Drosophila melanogaster: one gene and its partner. The protein of the gene in region 1 interacts with the protein of each later gene in a pairwise test. Each region holds a gene or a part of one and is shown on either strand. Other genes may lie near its edges.

What was found.
Region 2: the proteins of CG18367 (region 1) and CG30183 interact in a two-hybrid assay, tested with the Drosophila melanogaster proteins (one large-scale study listed by BioGRID).

Annotation. Positions count from the first base shown.
Region 1 is NT_033778.4:19,632,224-19,639,301, forward strand, and holds CG18367 (uncharacterized protein), read left to right. Parts: upstream 1-4,436; coding exon 4,437-4,649; intron 4,650-5,006; coding exon 5,007-5,075; 3' UTR 5,076-5,177; downstream 5,178-7,078. Other genes in the region: CG42753 (uncharacterized protein), read left to right, coding at 3,184-3,438; CG43277 (uncharacterized protein), read left to right, coding at 5,494-5,646.
Region 2 is NT_033778.4:23,692,267-23,700,839, forward strand, and holds the start of CG30183 (uncharacterized protein), read right to left. Parts: upstream 5,559-8,573; 5' UTR 5,410-5,558; coding exon 5,401-5,409; intron 5,343-5,400; coding exon 4,929-5,342; intron 4,876-4,928; coding exon 4,176-4,875; intron 4,000-4,175; coding exon 3,014-3,999; intron 2,967-3,013; exon of another isoform or gene 2,917-2,966; coding exon of another isoform or gene 1,852-2,916; exon of another isoform or gene 1,737-1,851; intron 1,466-1,736; coding exon 593-1,465; intron 535-592; coding exon 346-534; intron 175-345; coding exon 1-174. Other genes in the region: angel, read left to right, coding at 1,852-2,916; mRpL43 (mitochondrial ribosomal protein L43), read left to right, coding at 5,958-6,094, 6,157-6,263, 6,329-6,663; sigmar (salivary glands marred), read right to left, coding at 7,699-7,974, 8,032-8,324, 8,535-8,573.

The DNA of each region.
Region 1 (7,078 bases):
TAGCTTTAAAAATGGCATTTAATATTTTTATCATATTTTACAATTTTGTTAAAGTTTATTGGCACATCAAAGTTTTCCTGTTTACTTTTAAGAGAGTCAAAGAGAGCAAAATGCGCAACCAACAAATTTGTCGATATCGTTCTTTTAAACTTAAAAGCGGATAAAGGTGGTGCTTTGACGATTTAGTGTTAATTTTTTAGCACAATCTTAACAAAACGTAGATCTTTAGAAGTCTTAATTCTTTTTGATAATTTGCGTTCAACTTTCTCCGAGAAATTTCTTCTCCTCTTACTGAAACCCACCCACTTCGAAAAACCCACACATGACTTTGAGTGTCCAGGACGTGCTCCATGTACCCCTAATGCCAAAGTGCACAGACCAGAGCGGCAACAATAGTCAGCTGAAGGTAAACAACATAAACTATTTAGTCTATGGGTGGGTGGCTATATGTTTGGATTCTGCTAGGATGGGATGGGTCTGCATAATGGGTACGCACCGTAGTAGTCGAAGGTCCCAAGACCAAAACCACACTGTTCAGTAATGTTTGCGTCATAAAGTATGGATTAAACTGTATATGGGCATGCCTATCGTTGTGTGCTCCAACTTAACGCACCGTGCAGCACTTGTTGCAGTATTCAAGTGATTTCCAGATTATCCCCATATGGTGACCTTCCAACCATCTGTAGAAAATGGAATTCCATTTAAGTCATTGGTTAAGCGGATTACTAAAAAGATTAAAGATTAAAAGATTATTTAAAAAAATAATTTCCACTAAGGCGCCACCTGTTGCTAATCAAGAAGTCGTAGCACACTTTATGGCTGCGCCGTTCTAACTACTCTTTTTAGCCCGAGACTATGCAATAGTTTAGTTATTGTTCGGTGTTCATTTATACATTCTATAGTAAATTTGTTCTGGTTAAGCTGTATCAGTCCGCAAATATTGAATTAGATTTGAAATTTTGAAAGTGTATAGTTATTTATTGACAGTCAAACGAACTGTGTCTTACTTTTGCAAATTCTTCGAGCTTCCTTAATATTTGTAGATGGTGCTCCATAAAGTATACTTGATGACGGCTAACGGAATCGCATTAGGATGTTCGAATTGGGAATACTATGTTATTTAAAGACTTTTCGCAGATTTTATTGGCCAAATAAATGTTGACCATTTTACAAGTCATAAGTGAGGTAAATCTGTTTAAGGGTCGCTAAGTAAGTGGCCTTTTCTGGCTGCCAACTTTCACTTGATTCCCGATCGCAGCATACCACCCCCTCTTTAAGACTCCTTTAATGCTCGCGCACGCAATGTGTCCCCCAGCAGGATGCATCCTGGGAGCGCCAGCTCCCGCTTCTCGGAAGGCCGATAAGCCGACGCTATCAACGCCTTACATCCGCGCGTGTCTGGGCAATGGGTTTACCCCTGCCCACCGCATCGCGCATCCTTAGCTCCACCCGCTTCCAGCATCCTGCATCCGCTTCCGCTGCATCTGCCGGAGCTTGCTATCCTGCTTTAGCCAGATTTACAACCAAGCGAACTTCGCAAATTCCGTTGCTGCACGGAGATAAAATCGTTATGCTTATGCAAATTTTATAAGCAATTGTAGGGTTTAGAAATGTATTTATAGTTTTTTTTAAAAGCTATTTTTGGTGTCGAGTAAGTGTCATCAGTATTTGGAATTATTACATCTTTTGGCTTAAGTACTGACCAAATCTTTGCATTTTTTAAGGTGTGTGAGAGTGTGTGCTAAGCTGCGGCCCCGCCGGAAAGTGAAATGCTTATGAAAGCGTCCGGCTGCCCCAGCCACCCAGCTATTTGACCTTCTTTGGCGCATTTGCCATGCAAAATTTAATATATAACCGTAAGTGAGCTTGGATTCCTGCTAATTTGCCAGTTGAAGTATGCTCGAAAAGGAAGTCCCAGGGATGCGGGCTGCAAAGTATGTGTGGATATCCTCTTTTCCGGCTCTTAGCCCTTACAGATTCTAGTGTTCCAAAAAAAAAGATAAACAATGAAGTCTTGACCCAGTTCGGAGTTGCTTTTTGCGCTGCCCGCTGTCATCATCATCTATGTGGTGTGGGTGGTGCCAAATCCACCAACTTTACATACAAAAACGGACGCTTACCAAAATTGAGACAGCTACCGGGAATACATGGTGGTACGAGCTAACCCGATACATTTTCTTTAGATTTTTTCCTTTTTCTTTTTTTTTTTTTTGGGTTGGTTGATATAGGGCAAAGTGCAGTCAGACAGTCATTGGATCATTTGTCTTGGCATTGTTGCTTTTTCCTCTACATTTCTTTTTTGGTCGTTCGTTTTTATATAAAGCTGCGGGTCTTTCTTCAGGCATTTCAGTTCAAAGGGTCAGATAAAGAAAGGATTCGGCATTGTAATATTTTAAGTTAAAAATCTATTTATGCAAAGTAAAAAGAATCCAAACTAGTACACAAGCAGCTGCCTAATTTCCAAATAATTTCGCATTTTCATTGTATGATGCAATATCATGCTTATTCAGTTGCATTTTAATGTCTATAGCTCTTACAATGTTCAGTATATGTATTTTTAGGGTGCAAAGTGCGTATATAAATAAGCTATGTGTACAGTCATTTAATAAAGTCTTTAAAGTTTTAAAAAAATGGGCAGAACCATTATATTCTTTTAAATAAGAATTTATACACATGTATCAAAATCAATTGGTATTATTTGTAATTAACTGTTTTTGTTTAAACCTCTTAGTTGTGCACCATTGTTTCCGTTCACCAAACATTAAAGCAAGGCTAATAAAAATATGAAATTATATAATATCAGAGTTTTATCACTTTTTTTGTTGCCAATTAGCAGACAATGCATTCGTTAACTCCTTTGTAATCTGGCCGTAGGGTGCTGCATTTCCCCCAGATTTTCCATTTTAAAGCATTTTCAGCCGAAATGACGCTCTCGAAACGGCCCACACAGATACACCATCACACTCACACACACGAATTTTGCTGGAAGGGAGAAAAAAAGTTACGAAAGCAAACAGAATCACTGAACCCTGACTGGAGCTGAATGTTCAGAGCAAATGAAGGTGTCAAAATGACAAGCAGAGACAGCTAACAAAAAAAAAAAAGGGAAACGAAGGATGCACACACTTACACACACATAGACATACACTGGAATCCAAGAGGAGTGGGCAGGACGTGCGATGGATGGATGTCCGCCTTTCTCGCCGCCCACTTTTGAAGCCGCCCTTTCCGCCTGTTAGCCCGGCTAACTGTGTAAATGGCAAAGCGACAGCAGCATTTGCTAACTTTGCTGCAGCAGCAACAAAGGCCAAGGCACAGCCCCAACAAAAACTACATAAATGTATCTATATCTATATCTATCTAAGCGATGGCCGTGCATTGTATTGCAGTTACGTGCTCGATGGTCCAGCAAAATGGCGAGGCGAAAAAAATCTCTGAAACAAAATCAACAAAGAAGCACCAAGAACAGCAGGGGTCTTCTCGTTTGAAAAGTCTTGAATACACTTTTCGTATAAACATTTAAGAAGCACTTCTCCTTATAGTCAGAACATATGTAAAAATTTACATTTATATAGCTGGTATTGCTGAAAACAGTCGGAATATCTGCTTGAGTAAAAAGATTTAAAATCAAAATTTTTGTAATTTTAGGATAGTATTTATTTATACTTGTGTTTAGGCAAAAACCCACATTATTGCATAATAAAAATAAATTTTTCTCAAAGCATGTATGTAAAAAGTGGGCACACCAATCAGCTAAATGCTAGAGTATCTCCGATAGAATAGAGCCAGCAAAACAGCTTAAAGACTTTGGCTGTGCCAACTGCTTACTCACTTGCCAAATTCGCAAAGCGGATTTAGCTTGTAGCCAAACTTTAAATGAGTTCAAGCAGATTTTGAGCGCCCATCGAGCTCCAACATCGCCCCCGTTTCCAGTTACGCCCCCGCCCCCCATTGATGACTGTACTTCTGGCGCTGATGAAGCATAATGATGATGGCTTTGCCTGATTGATTGATTGATAGCTGAAGGATTGGTCGCGAGCGCTGGGATGGTGCCCCCTCAATTTGCACTTGAAACTTAAGCGCACGGCCGGCCGCGAATGAATTCCTAACAAGAAGAAATTCAGATTGCTCATACGCCGCGTCAGCCGTCGTGCGGTGTATAATTTTAGACCATCAACGATGCACCACATATAGCACCCCCACCTTCGGCTCACTCCCCCCTCGCGGTACGACCAATTAATTTCGTTCAAATAATTATGAATGTTGGAATATTTTTTGTACACAATATTTGTATGTAGCATTGGGGCAACGAGCGCCGCTTTTTTACGACGACCGTGAGCCGGAAGTGCTAGCGAAAACTGTCGCACCAGCGATGCCAGTGGGCACATGGCACATGGCATTTTCGATCTCCCTCGGCGGCGCCAGTTGCATTCGGAATGGATCAGTGGACGGGTGTGCACCGGGCGTTCGTCATACGCGCCTACTACAAGAGCAATGACTCCATCAGCACCGCCCAGCGGCTCTTCAAGAAGCAGTTCAGCATTTACCAAACGCCGCCGACGAATGTCATCAAGTCATGGCTGAGACACTTCGAGAGCACAGGATCCTCGCAAGGAGGTTGTGGAGGATATGCACGATCCTCGCTGCCTGTAAGTGAAGTATTCAGACCCAGTAAGGGGAATAGAGATGAACTGTAACGCTCCAAAAGTATAAAGTTGTAGGCTATACTTTTTTTTTAATGATTTGTTCTATAAATATTGAATTCAAGTCTTTAACTGTAAATGATTCGGACTATTAATTAAAGATTCTCTGATAAATCTATAAGAACTTTAAAGACGTGGTGCATATAGTTCGACTTCATTCAGCAAGTAAAAAGAAAGGAACGCTCGGTACATCTTACTAGCAAATGGAATACCTTATGTGGTCTAGCCCCTACTAGTTATTTAATTTTATAATTTCTTTGGTCAAATTTGTTTCCCATTAAAAGGCAATTTGTATCATTCCAGCAAATCTTCTGTACCATTTGCAATCAGTGCCTGAGTAATGAGAAGAACTTTAGCAGCTCCGTGAAGTGAATATGCACATGGGGCATAAGTTAATCTGTTTATCGTAAATAAGTTAGTGTGTATGGTTCGCAAATAAATTTCTTGGCTAATTAACAAGCTTGCCAAATCAACACATCTGCCCGCTGGCTGGCTGTCTTGACCCACTTGCTCGTTTGCATTTCTGAAAAATGTATACGCAAAAACCAAAATCAGAAATTCTTTTGAGCAAGTGTGTCATGAAATTGCCATTCGTTTCTGCTCTATATACCTGGGCAGCAGATAAAACAAATATTTTCCAAGTATACCAACCGACGGGGGTGTACACATCACGTCAACGCCGCAAATTGGTAAGTAATCCAGCCAGATTAAATCGAAATTCATTGCCATTCCCGCCACAATTCTCCCGATCCATTAGGTTCGTTCCGCTGCAAATTTTTCAGGCTCTAATATGTCACCTTGGTCACAGCTGAAACCGATGGAGTGGTGTAAGGCCGTTTACAGGGACTATCATTCCTGGTCATTCGTCAAGTGTTCCCTGGCATTCTGTGCCGGTGTCCTCCTGGTCCGAAGCCTCGATGGAAAGTTGCCGGCCAGCAGCTAGAAACCCGAAATTTAGACCTATAACTAATTGAATATAGGATCATATTGCCAGTCATCTAACCAAATTGTCGTCGACGAAGGAGCGAAAGAAATCAGGATGACTCAAACGCTTTAAATTTAGCTGGTATATTCGTTTACTTGTTGACTTAAATAAAACAACAAAAATTAAGTTCACAAGTTTATAGTTTTTTAAAAATTTGACCAAAAACAAATCATGGCAGCTGGAATCTAAAATAAATATGAAATCGACGAGCGTCGTACACTGTGCCAAATTTCCATTGATTGGCATGCAATTTTAAATTAACTTTAAGAATACTTTCCATTTTTTTTTATAATAAACAAGCCTTTGCTTCATGGACTTTAGCTCATCCTTAGTGGCCTTTGTGACTTTCATTTGGTTTATGACACAACTCAAGTCCTTGCGACCAATCAAAGTCTGAGTTGTCAGCTTTTGGCAAAAAGTAAATCTCATATTAGCCATTTTCCGGATGCCATGTTTACTCCGGCACCTTGCTGAAAATGTCCACTTTGGGGGAATATCATCGAGCTGTCATGTTACTTTGAGTAAAAAACCATGTGTGAGGCCTGTTGACAGGCAAGTTGGAGCCGGATGATTCCACAAAATGATACATACGCCCATCCTACTTAGAGATTACAATCGGAAAATGCGCATAAGGTTTTACATTCTGCCCGTTTTTGGCATTAGTTTGAGATATGTGTGTCGGGAAGGCATCCGGCCCCGCGGCAAAGAAAATAAAATTAGGCGTCGCTTTTTGCCATAAACATAAAAATTGTTCCTGCATCCTCAGGAAGCTGTCTTACCAGGGGGCAGAACATCCATAGCCACCAGCGATTCCTTGGTATCATAATTTCGAAATGACAGGTAATTTGGGAGCAGCAAAAGGAACAGGAAGTGGAAGTGGCATCTCGATGGTTCTGGGGCAGGGGATCGTGCGAAGTGCGAGCACCAAATGGGAAAATGATGCGGGTTTATTAAGTATCGTTACTCAAGAGGAAAACCTGCCCAGATACCCCGAACCAAATCCCTCTCAACAAATTTATGATGCGCCATTTTCAAAAAAGTACCTGTACCCCCTTTAAAAAAAAAATGCAGAAAAATGTATATTGTAAATATACTCGAGATGTAATAGTGGGGGGTGCCACGTTACTTACCTTCTTCAACTGGCAGCCACCTAGTGATTTAAGCTCGGCAAAAAATGCTGCCGCACATGAACATGCAACTAATGAGCTGAGTTATTTCCAGTGGGCTGGTGGGGCAGAAGTTACCAGGTTTCTGGAACACGCCACGGGAGCTCAGCTCTTCCGGTGCGGGTGGTTTAAACTCTAATTGAAATTTAGATAGCTGCTACGTGTGCCAGCCGGAAAATCATCGCCAGGTGTCACGGTAGGTGATGAGTTAAACAGCCGGAATG
Region 2 (8,573 bases), 4.1 Mb from region 1:
CGTCTGCATCAGCTCACCCAAACTGCTGCTGTTGTGCAGGACAGTGGGATCCACTGCCTGCGAGGCCTGCGCCTGCTGTGGCGTTGTGGGGCAACTGATGCTCAGATTGTTACCAAAATGGCGCAGCGACGTGGCTTGGCCATCATTAATTTCTATGGTCAAATTGGAAGCGGGCTGAAAGATCAATCATTACTCAGTTTCAACAACAATCTTATATTTGAAGTGCGTTTCAGAAAGCGATGGATGAGTACAGTGTGGTAGTGGCTATTTACAGAATGTACAGTGTCAGAAATCAGATGCAAGCGGAAGCCTTAAGCTTTAGTGGGAGTCAACAAAAATCTCTACCTTGGTTGTAAAGCGCTGGCTCTGCTTCTTTTTCGGCGTACTCTGGTTGGCCGGCTCAGGTTCAATTTGCCCGGAGCCGTAATCGTTGGTCACGAAGGAGCTGCCGGCGCTGCCCGCTCCAACCAAACTGTAATCTGCGTAGAGCTGCTCGGGCATGTCATACGAAACGGAATCCATATTGGAAGTATTCTGTAATGGGCTTTGGCTTAGAAATGTGACAAATTGTAAAAACTGCAATGGCACTTACATTGGGCACCTTTTCTGGGCGATCCAACACCAGTTCACTGCGGCAGAGATTGTCCAAGAAGATCTCGCTGCGCTGCAGAGAGAGTTCTGAACGAGAAAGATTCCGGTTCTGCTTGGGCGGCGAATGCTGCTCACTGATATTGTTCAAGGATTGGTGGGCATGTGGCGAAGGCAACTTTAACTTCGGCTGGCGAATCACAGAGGACTCAGTGGTCTGACTAGCTGAGCACGAGGATTCCGTTCCACTCGGCTCCTCGGGCAGAGGCATGAACTGGAAGAAGTTGCCGTTCTTCAGGGATTCGTGGAGAAAGTGACCCAAAGCTACAGGCTGCTGAGGAGCAGTTGATTGTGGTGAAACCATCTGGGTGCTTAGCTGCGCTGGATTCGACTGGGTGCAGCTTTTAGGTTGTACCGCCTGATCAAGAACAATATGTGTTGTTATAGGCGGCGAAAAGGAATGAGTACTTTTCTGTGGCTGAATAGCTTGGAAACTAATCTGAGGCTTATCCACTGGCTTCATTTGCGGTGAGTTCTTCGGCGTCTTTTGCACCCTGGCGTACATGGCACTGATGTCATCGCGCGAGGTCGACGGAGCAGGCACAGACCCACTCACATACGCGGTGGAGCTTTCCGTAGGAGTCGGCGTGTGGTCTATAATCTGTGCCGCGGTCCTAACCTCGTGGTGGGGACTCCCTCTAATCCGCAGGCAGTCTTCCTCAATCTCCGAGTAAATGGGCTCGCTGTCGAAATCGCGCTGTTGCCGTGTGGTGGCCAACGATGTGGTTGCACCACTGCTGGGTCCGTCTGTGCAGTCGTAGCTCTCGGTTTGAAGATGGCTGATCTGAGGCTCATGGCGGTCAAAGCGGGAGCAGTCCTGCAATCGATTGAAATTATACTCTTATTATTGAAATACAAACCATATTAACGATATATTTATAAAAGAAGAGCCTTATTACTTGGATCAATAAACCAATGATTAACTAAATCTATTTGACCAGAAAGTTAGTAAGAACGAATCTTGCAATGCTACTTCGAGATACACTTTTTTAAATTTCGATAGACCGAGTACCGCCCCGTTATCGATATCAGCTGCAATGCAGCCCAGCGAAGGAAGGCGCAAAACAAGAAGTGAAAACAGCTGACAGCAGCAGATTTCTTTCCTCCACTCGGAAATTCAGACGCCATCCAAAAACACTAAAGAAACAAGAGGCTTTCAAGGGGACCAGGAGCTCGGGCTTATGGGGAGGCGCACCTGGTGAGATGTACAGGTCTCTGCTGCACAACGTTTCACTCAAGGCGACATCAAGGATTATCAGGCGCAGCGTGAGCAGCCAGGCAAAAGGAGCCAGCGGAAAGCGCAAACAAAAAGCGAAGGAGATGGAGTCGAGCCACGATCGGAATAGACGCTGGACGTCATTGGGGAATCAGGCTGAGGGTCGAGACCCGCACAAGTGCTCCTCCTTCAAGGTTGTCTCATATAACATCCTGGCCCAGGATCTGCTTCTGGAGCACCTCTTCCTGTACGTGGGAATCCCGCATGAGTTCCTCAGCTGGCAACGCCGCCAGCAGAACCTTCTCAGGGAACTGCTCAAACTGGATCCGGACATACTGTGCCTGCAGGAGATGCAGTTCGACCACCTTCCAGTGCTCGTCCAACGACTGCGTATGGGCAACGGCAAGAAGTTGGCTTATGTGTACAAAAAGAAGACCGGCTGTCGAACGGACGGATGCGCTATTGTCTACGACTCCTCAAAGTTTGAGTTGCTAGACCACCAAGCAGTGGAGCTGTACGACCAGGCGGTGGCTCTACTCAATCGCGACAATGTGGCCTTGTTTGCCAGGTTCCGATTCAAAAAGCAGCAGGAGCAGCAGAAGGAATTCGTGGTCGCCACCACGCACTTGCTGTTCAACACGAAACGGAGCGATGTCCGTTGCGCCCAGGTGGAAAGAATTTTGGAGGAGCTGCAGTCGTTCTCCACCGACACACCTATCGTCCTGACTGGTGACTTTAACAGTCTGCCCGACTCCTCGCCTATTGAATTCCTCGTTGGCAAGAATGGGGATGTGGATTCCACAGCTTGCCCAGAACCCCTGCATTTCGAGATCATCGATTCGGGCGAAGGTACTGCCTCCACATACCAGAACGAATGGGTTATCGTGGACTACATCCTGCGCTCGCTAGGATCGCGGAGCAGGCACAAGCTCTTGCCTCTCAGCGTCTACTCACTGCCCTCAATCAACCGGTGCATCGGGGCGGGACAGATCCCCAATTACCGTCTGGGGTCGGATCACTACGCCTTGGGTGCAGTATTCACCGTTGTCTAGTATTTAATCTCTTCATGCTTTCTTGGACTCATCAATAAAGGTACGAAATGAACATGCCCACTTATTATAAAGTAAAAGATTAAGGGAAGGGACTCACCTGAAAGGTTCTAACTGCGTGCTCATCGCTAGCCTCCAGCTTGGCCCTGATGCTGCTGAGCAGATAGCCCATTTTAGTGATGGTGACGTCCTGGTCGAGATCCTTGTGATACGAGCGATAGGTGGTGGGTGATGTTGCTGCTGCTTGAAAGTCCAGCTTGCGGGCTCTGTTTGCACGGGGCAGCTTCTTCGGAGGCGTCGGTGCCTTCACCTTGCGTTCGAAATCGAAGTACGGCTGCTCTGTGTCCAGCTGTTGGCGGGTGGATGTGGTCGTACCCGAGGGCGTGGTCTGCATGGGGGAGTGGTAGCTTCCCGGCGGAGACTGTGACTGCAGGTCCAGCTGCGAGGTAGATGTCTGTACGCCAATGGTGCACTGCTGGGGAGTGAATCTGTGCTGATCCAGCTGCGTGTGCACCTCCTGATTAGACTTCTTCGGCGAGACGAAGCGCAGGATCTTCTTTTTGGAGTTGTTCAGAAAGTTCTTGGACTTCTTTCCAAGGTTCTTCGGTTTGTTACCCTTCCAAGGAGATAGATTGCGCCACTGCTCGCTCCAGATGAACTTCTGGCTAGCCTGACCTCCTGCCGTGTTAACTCGACTGGGATACTTGATGGGCGTCTCCTTGTGCACCATATTTGATGCCAGGTTCTCGGAAACACTTCCGTCAACAGTGTCCAAGGAAACCTTTGGCACTACGGGCTGTGGCTGTGCTTTAGGCATTTGCCATCCAATGGCTACTTGCGGTTCCGCCGGTGTCCTAAACTCGCTGGCTGTCTTGCCCTCGTAGTTGAGCATATCGGTGATCTTGGGCTCTGTCCAGCCAAGAATAACCTCCTTGGTGGGCGCTCCTTTCCGCCTACTCTCCTGCCGAATATTCCGGTCGTAATTTGAGCCCCGCTTGGATTCCACTACGCGCTCAATGTCACTGAGCGAGGGGCAGGTGGGCAGTTGCTTGTTGCTCCTGGGATGCCTGGGCTTCTCTACCTCAGCTAAAGAAAGACGCAAAGCTCGTAAAAACATCGAAAACCAAGGAACCAATTAATGAAACCGTAAGCCAAATGTTTGGATACAAAACACTTTATTTGGTAAATACATTTGATTTTTGGTAAAAATAGTTTCTATTTGGTTACGGTTTCATTTTCTAGGGCTTACGGGTATAACTTACCCATGGGGAACGATCTGCGCTTGCTGTCTTTTTTGAGCGATGGTTCCAGCTTGCTCGTAGGCACCTGAACGCCACGTTTGCGCAGAAACTCGTCCAGCACTCGCTCGGCCTCCCGCACCGAAGGATTCGTGGAGGTGAGCGAGGATTGCGATAGCTTCCCGTCCAGACTTTGGGAGCTGCGACGCGGCGGCTTCGGAGGCGGCAGCTGCGAGTTCCGTGCCTTGAAGCTGACTTGACCCTGCGAGAGGCGCTTCTGCAGCAGGCGTCCACCTGCTCCGGAACTGCGTCGAGAGCGGGAACTCCTGCGACTTGGCGGCTCGGTGGCCAGCTCTTCTTTCTCCTGATCTTCCTCCACAGCGGATTCCTGTTCGCTGATGTTAGACAAAACAGGAGCTGAGGGCTTATAGGCTATGGGCTCATAGGAAAGCATTTTAGTAGGCTCTCTCTGTGTGCTCCTGTGCCGGCACCTGGAGCTAGAATCTGACAGTTTGTGGCGGTTCACGCGCACTTCGGACACCACACAGTTGTCGTGCAGCTCCTGGATGATGTGTATAAGCGGTTCATCCTCGCCGGCCACGGCTCTCAAGCGACTGACAGCAGTTAAGGGAGTTTTCAAGCCAGAATTTATGCTGGCCGGCTCGCTTCGACGAAGTTTCTCCGCCTGCTGCCGCTGGCTACCGAGATTGTTCTGCTTGGCGGGCTGTAAAATGTGAGTTTAATGAGGGAACTGTAGCGGGCTGGTTAGTGGCTTACCTTGGCGCTCTCAGATCGCCTGCTGCGCCTTGGTAGTCGCACGTGCTGGTCACGTGGCGGTGCCGTGGAGCCGCAGTCTCCGCTGTCGCTGGTGAAGCAGTAGCAGAAGCCGTTCTGGCACGGCTTCCCCTTGCGCTCCTGCTCCTTGTTGCAGCGATTCTGGTTGATTAGGTCCGCATCCGTGGTTCTGCGGACTCGGGGAAGTTGTCGGGACATGTTGATGTGGTTATTGTTGGTCTCGCAGTCGCGACTTTGAGTGGACACACGGCGAATGCGGCGTGCCCTAAACTCGTCGATGCACTCCTGCAAACTGAACGACGATGTGGAACCAGACTCGGCGGAATCCTCCTCCTCCTCCTCCCCCTCTTCTTCATCAACTAGAACATGTTTGGAGAACTTTGAGCCTACAAAAGTCTGGAGGCCAATATGCTGTTCATTTGCACTTGTGATTAAATAGCGATTTAATGCTTACGGTGGCCATTTTGCAGTCTATGTATTTATGGAGCTGATTAGACCAGCTGCATGTGCTCCACTTTTACACGTTGCACGCTTTCTACTCCGCTTCTACTTCGTGTTTTTCCAATCAAATGAAAAGCGACGCCTCGCCTGCATTTTTGTTTTCCGCTTTGTGCCGCTTCTTCTTTATCAGCGAAAGAGAGAGAGGAGAGAGTGCATAACAGCCCTGTCTTGCGTCAGAGATTGGGCAATTGGCTGGTATAACTCAGGCAGCACTATATTCATATGCTTGAAATTGTTATTATTTATACAATTGTTCAAATGGGCTTTACTATTTATTATTTAATTCAGCGCGGAATAGGTTCATATTTAAAAGAGGATGTGCTAGAGATTAATTATGTTCCAATGTAAGCTGGGGTTATAGGGGTTATAGCTATAAAACATAATGTTTCTAGCTAACTCGTCATCTCTGGTCAGAGAGAATCAGCTGTTTGCGGCATGCTATTACGTCGTCTCTTATTTGGAATTGTAAAAAATAGTTAAAAATTGTTTTGAATTAAAAACAAATACAGAATGTCAAACAGCCACTTGTTCTTGAAGTCCGGCTTCCCCCGTGCACCCCTGCAAAATGGATTGGGACGCTATGTTTGTCAGCTCCAGCGGATCACCCTGAAGTTCTGCAAGAATAATGGATCCAGCAGAGGCATGCGGTAAGCAAAATCCTTAAATGTTTACATATAAAGTAAAATTAATCATACGAAACGTTCAATAGCGACTTCATTGAGAATCACTTGCTGGACTTTGCCAAAGAGAATCCCGGGATTGTGGTCTATGTGAAGCCCAGGCGCCACCGCACGCCAGTTTTGGTGGGAGAGTACTGTACGTATACATAATGTATAAGGATGCTCCCTAGAATACACTTTAAATATGTCATCCTGTTCCAGTGAACGGCGAGCGCGAATGGATGAGCTGCAGGAACAGCACCCAAGAGGAGATCTCCAAGTGGATTGACCTGCTAAAGACTCAAAACGGCAGCTCCAGCTCCCTGCGACTCCGGAAAATGTGGCATACCGAAGTGCCCTCCATCCAAGGCCCGTGGACGCCATTCCTGCTGCGTTCGCCGGATGCCCAAGGCCAGGCTTACCCCAGTGCCGAGGCGTCAAAGCCGCTGGATACGCCGCAAACTGCCACCGAGAAGCTCATCGAGTTGTTCCGGCAACAGCAACTGGAAGCTGGCGAGGAAGCACACGACGTGCTGAACAAAAAGCGGGCCGAGTGATAGGGATTAGGACTTTTTGGTAATTGTTGCTTTTATTTTTATAGTCAACATAGTTTTGTTGGTAAACAAATAAATATTTAAAATCTAAACCACTAAACTTGTGCCTCCATCGCTGGAATATCGAACCAAAAGTCATAGAAAAATGCAAACAACTTATTGTCCCCTTAGCTATGTTGCCTTTCAGATAGTTTCGATATGTTTCGGGTAGTTGGAATATCATTGTGGGAGTATCATAAATAATGCTTAAGGTTACCGACCCCTTGGAGGCTTGGAATACGAATACGAATACGAATACAAATACGAATAGAAATAGAAACAGGTTCTGGTGACGACTTAGCATAACCAACTTAGCATCGACTAACGACTGCAGGTGAGATGGGTGGCTCCGATCGGCGGCGATCGGTTAAGTACGCAAAGGTCTGACTAAGACGTTGATATAGTTACTTGCGGGTGCACACAGCGAGTTTGGGAGTATCAAAAAGTAGACCACGAATAAGTAATTGCTTATGTGCCGAAGTATTTTCCATCTAACACTTAAAACTATTGTACATATAGTTACTTTCACACGTACGATCAACGATCAACTTACACACCGATAAAAGCATTTTGCTCGAGTTTACAATTTCCGTTTAGTGAATTCCTTTGGCGAAATGCATTTGGTTCTTCCTAATTATTACTACATAGACCTTGAGTACACGAATGTTAACGTTGTCATCAAAATAATCAATACGGACGTCTTTACACTTTTGATATTGTTGTCAATGTTATATCACTAGTTGAACTAAATTAAACTTCTCCTTAAACCCATGTCTTTTTTCCATTCTTTCCCAGCTCTGCTTCATCTCTGCCGCTGCTGGCCCATATTTATACCTAGATTTTGTATTTTGGTGGTGATGGTGGTGGTGGTGGTGTTGGTGGGTGAGCTTTAAGCAAGCGTTTTCCATTCGCAACTAGCTACTGGCTGCTTTTTGGTTTCGATATATAGCCTTTCGTTCATAGCACGCAATTGCAGCTCAGCTCGCTTTGCGAATCTCCTCAGATATCTCCCGTTTCCATGGCTGCGTTTATGTCCGCCACAATCTTTCCCATCACCTCGCGGTAGGGGGAATCTGGTCGGAAAGCCGTCTCCAGCAGCGCCTCCTCGCCGAAGAAATCGAACACCTCGTCGATGCGGCCCAGCGACTTTTCTGTGAGATGCGGCTGCACAATCGACTTCAGCGCCACTTGCGATTCGGCTATTGACTTTTGCAGGTACGGCAGGTCGAACGTGAAGTCCACTTCGTAGAATGATATGATGGACAGCTGCGTGTTCTGCAACAAAAAAAAATCATAATAACATGTAGTTAAGGAGTAGCATTTAAGACTCACTTGAAACTTTCTCTTAAAGAGCTCCGCCTTCTGCAGCTCCTCGTCGCTGAACTGATTGTTCCGGTGGAGCACACCGATCTTGATCACAATCTTGATGATGTTCTTGATCAGCTTCTCCGCCTTGGCCTTGTTCCCCGTGTGCATCTTGCAGAGCCTGTAGAGGTTGTCCAGCAGCGACGCCGTCGTGCCATCGATGAAGGTCTTGGCGATGTTTTTTGTGGCCATGCGTGAGAGGATCTTCTTCTGCGCCCGCAGCCCGATATCGTGCGACTTGAAGACATTGTCCGCCATGACTAAAGCGGATGGGAGGGGTGGGATTGGAATTCAGATTCAGACATTATTATCGCTGCATATTCATTGACTAAAGCATTGTGGCAAAGAAATACGAGCAGTACGAGCAAACAAAACGGAGCAACAACTCAGCAACCAAGGAAAACTTAAAACTGAACACTGAATGGTGGCAACTGAAAAGCAAATCAGCTCCGCTCTTCTCCGCGGTTTACCTTCCAAGTTCCAGTAGTCGACGCTCCACAGCAGCAGAC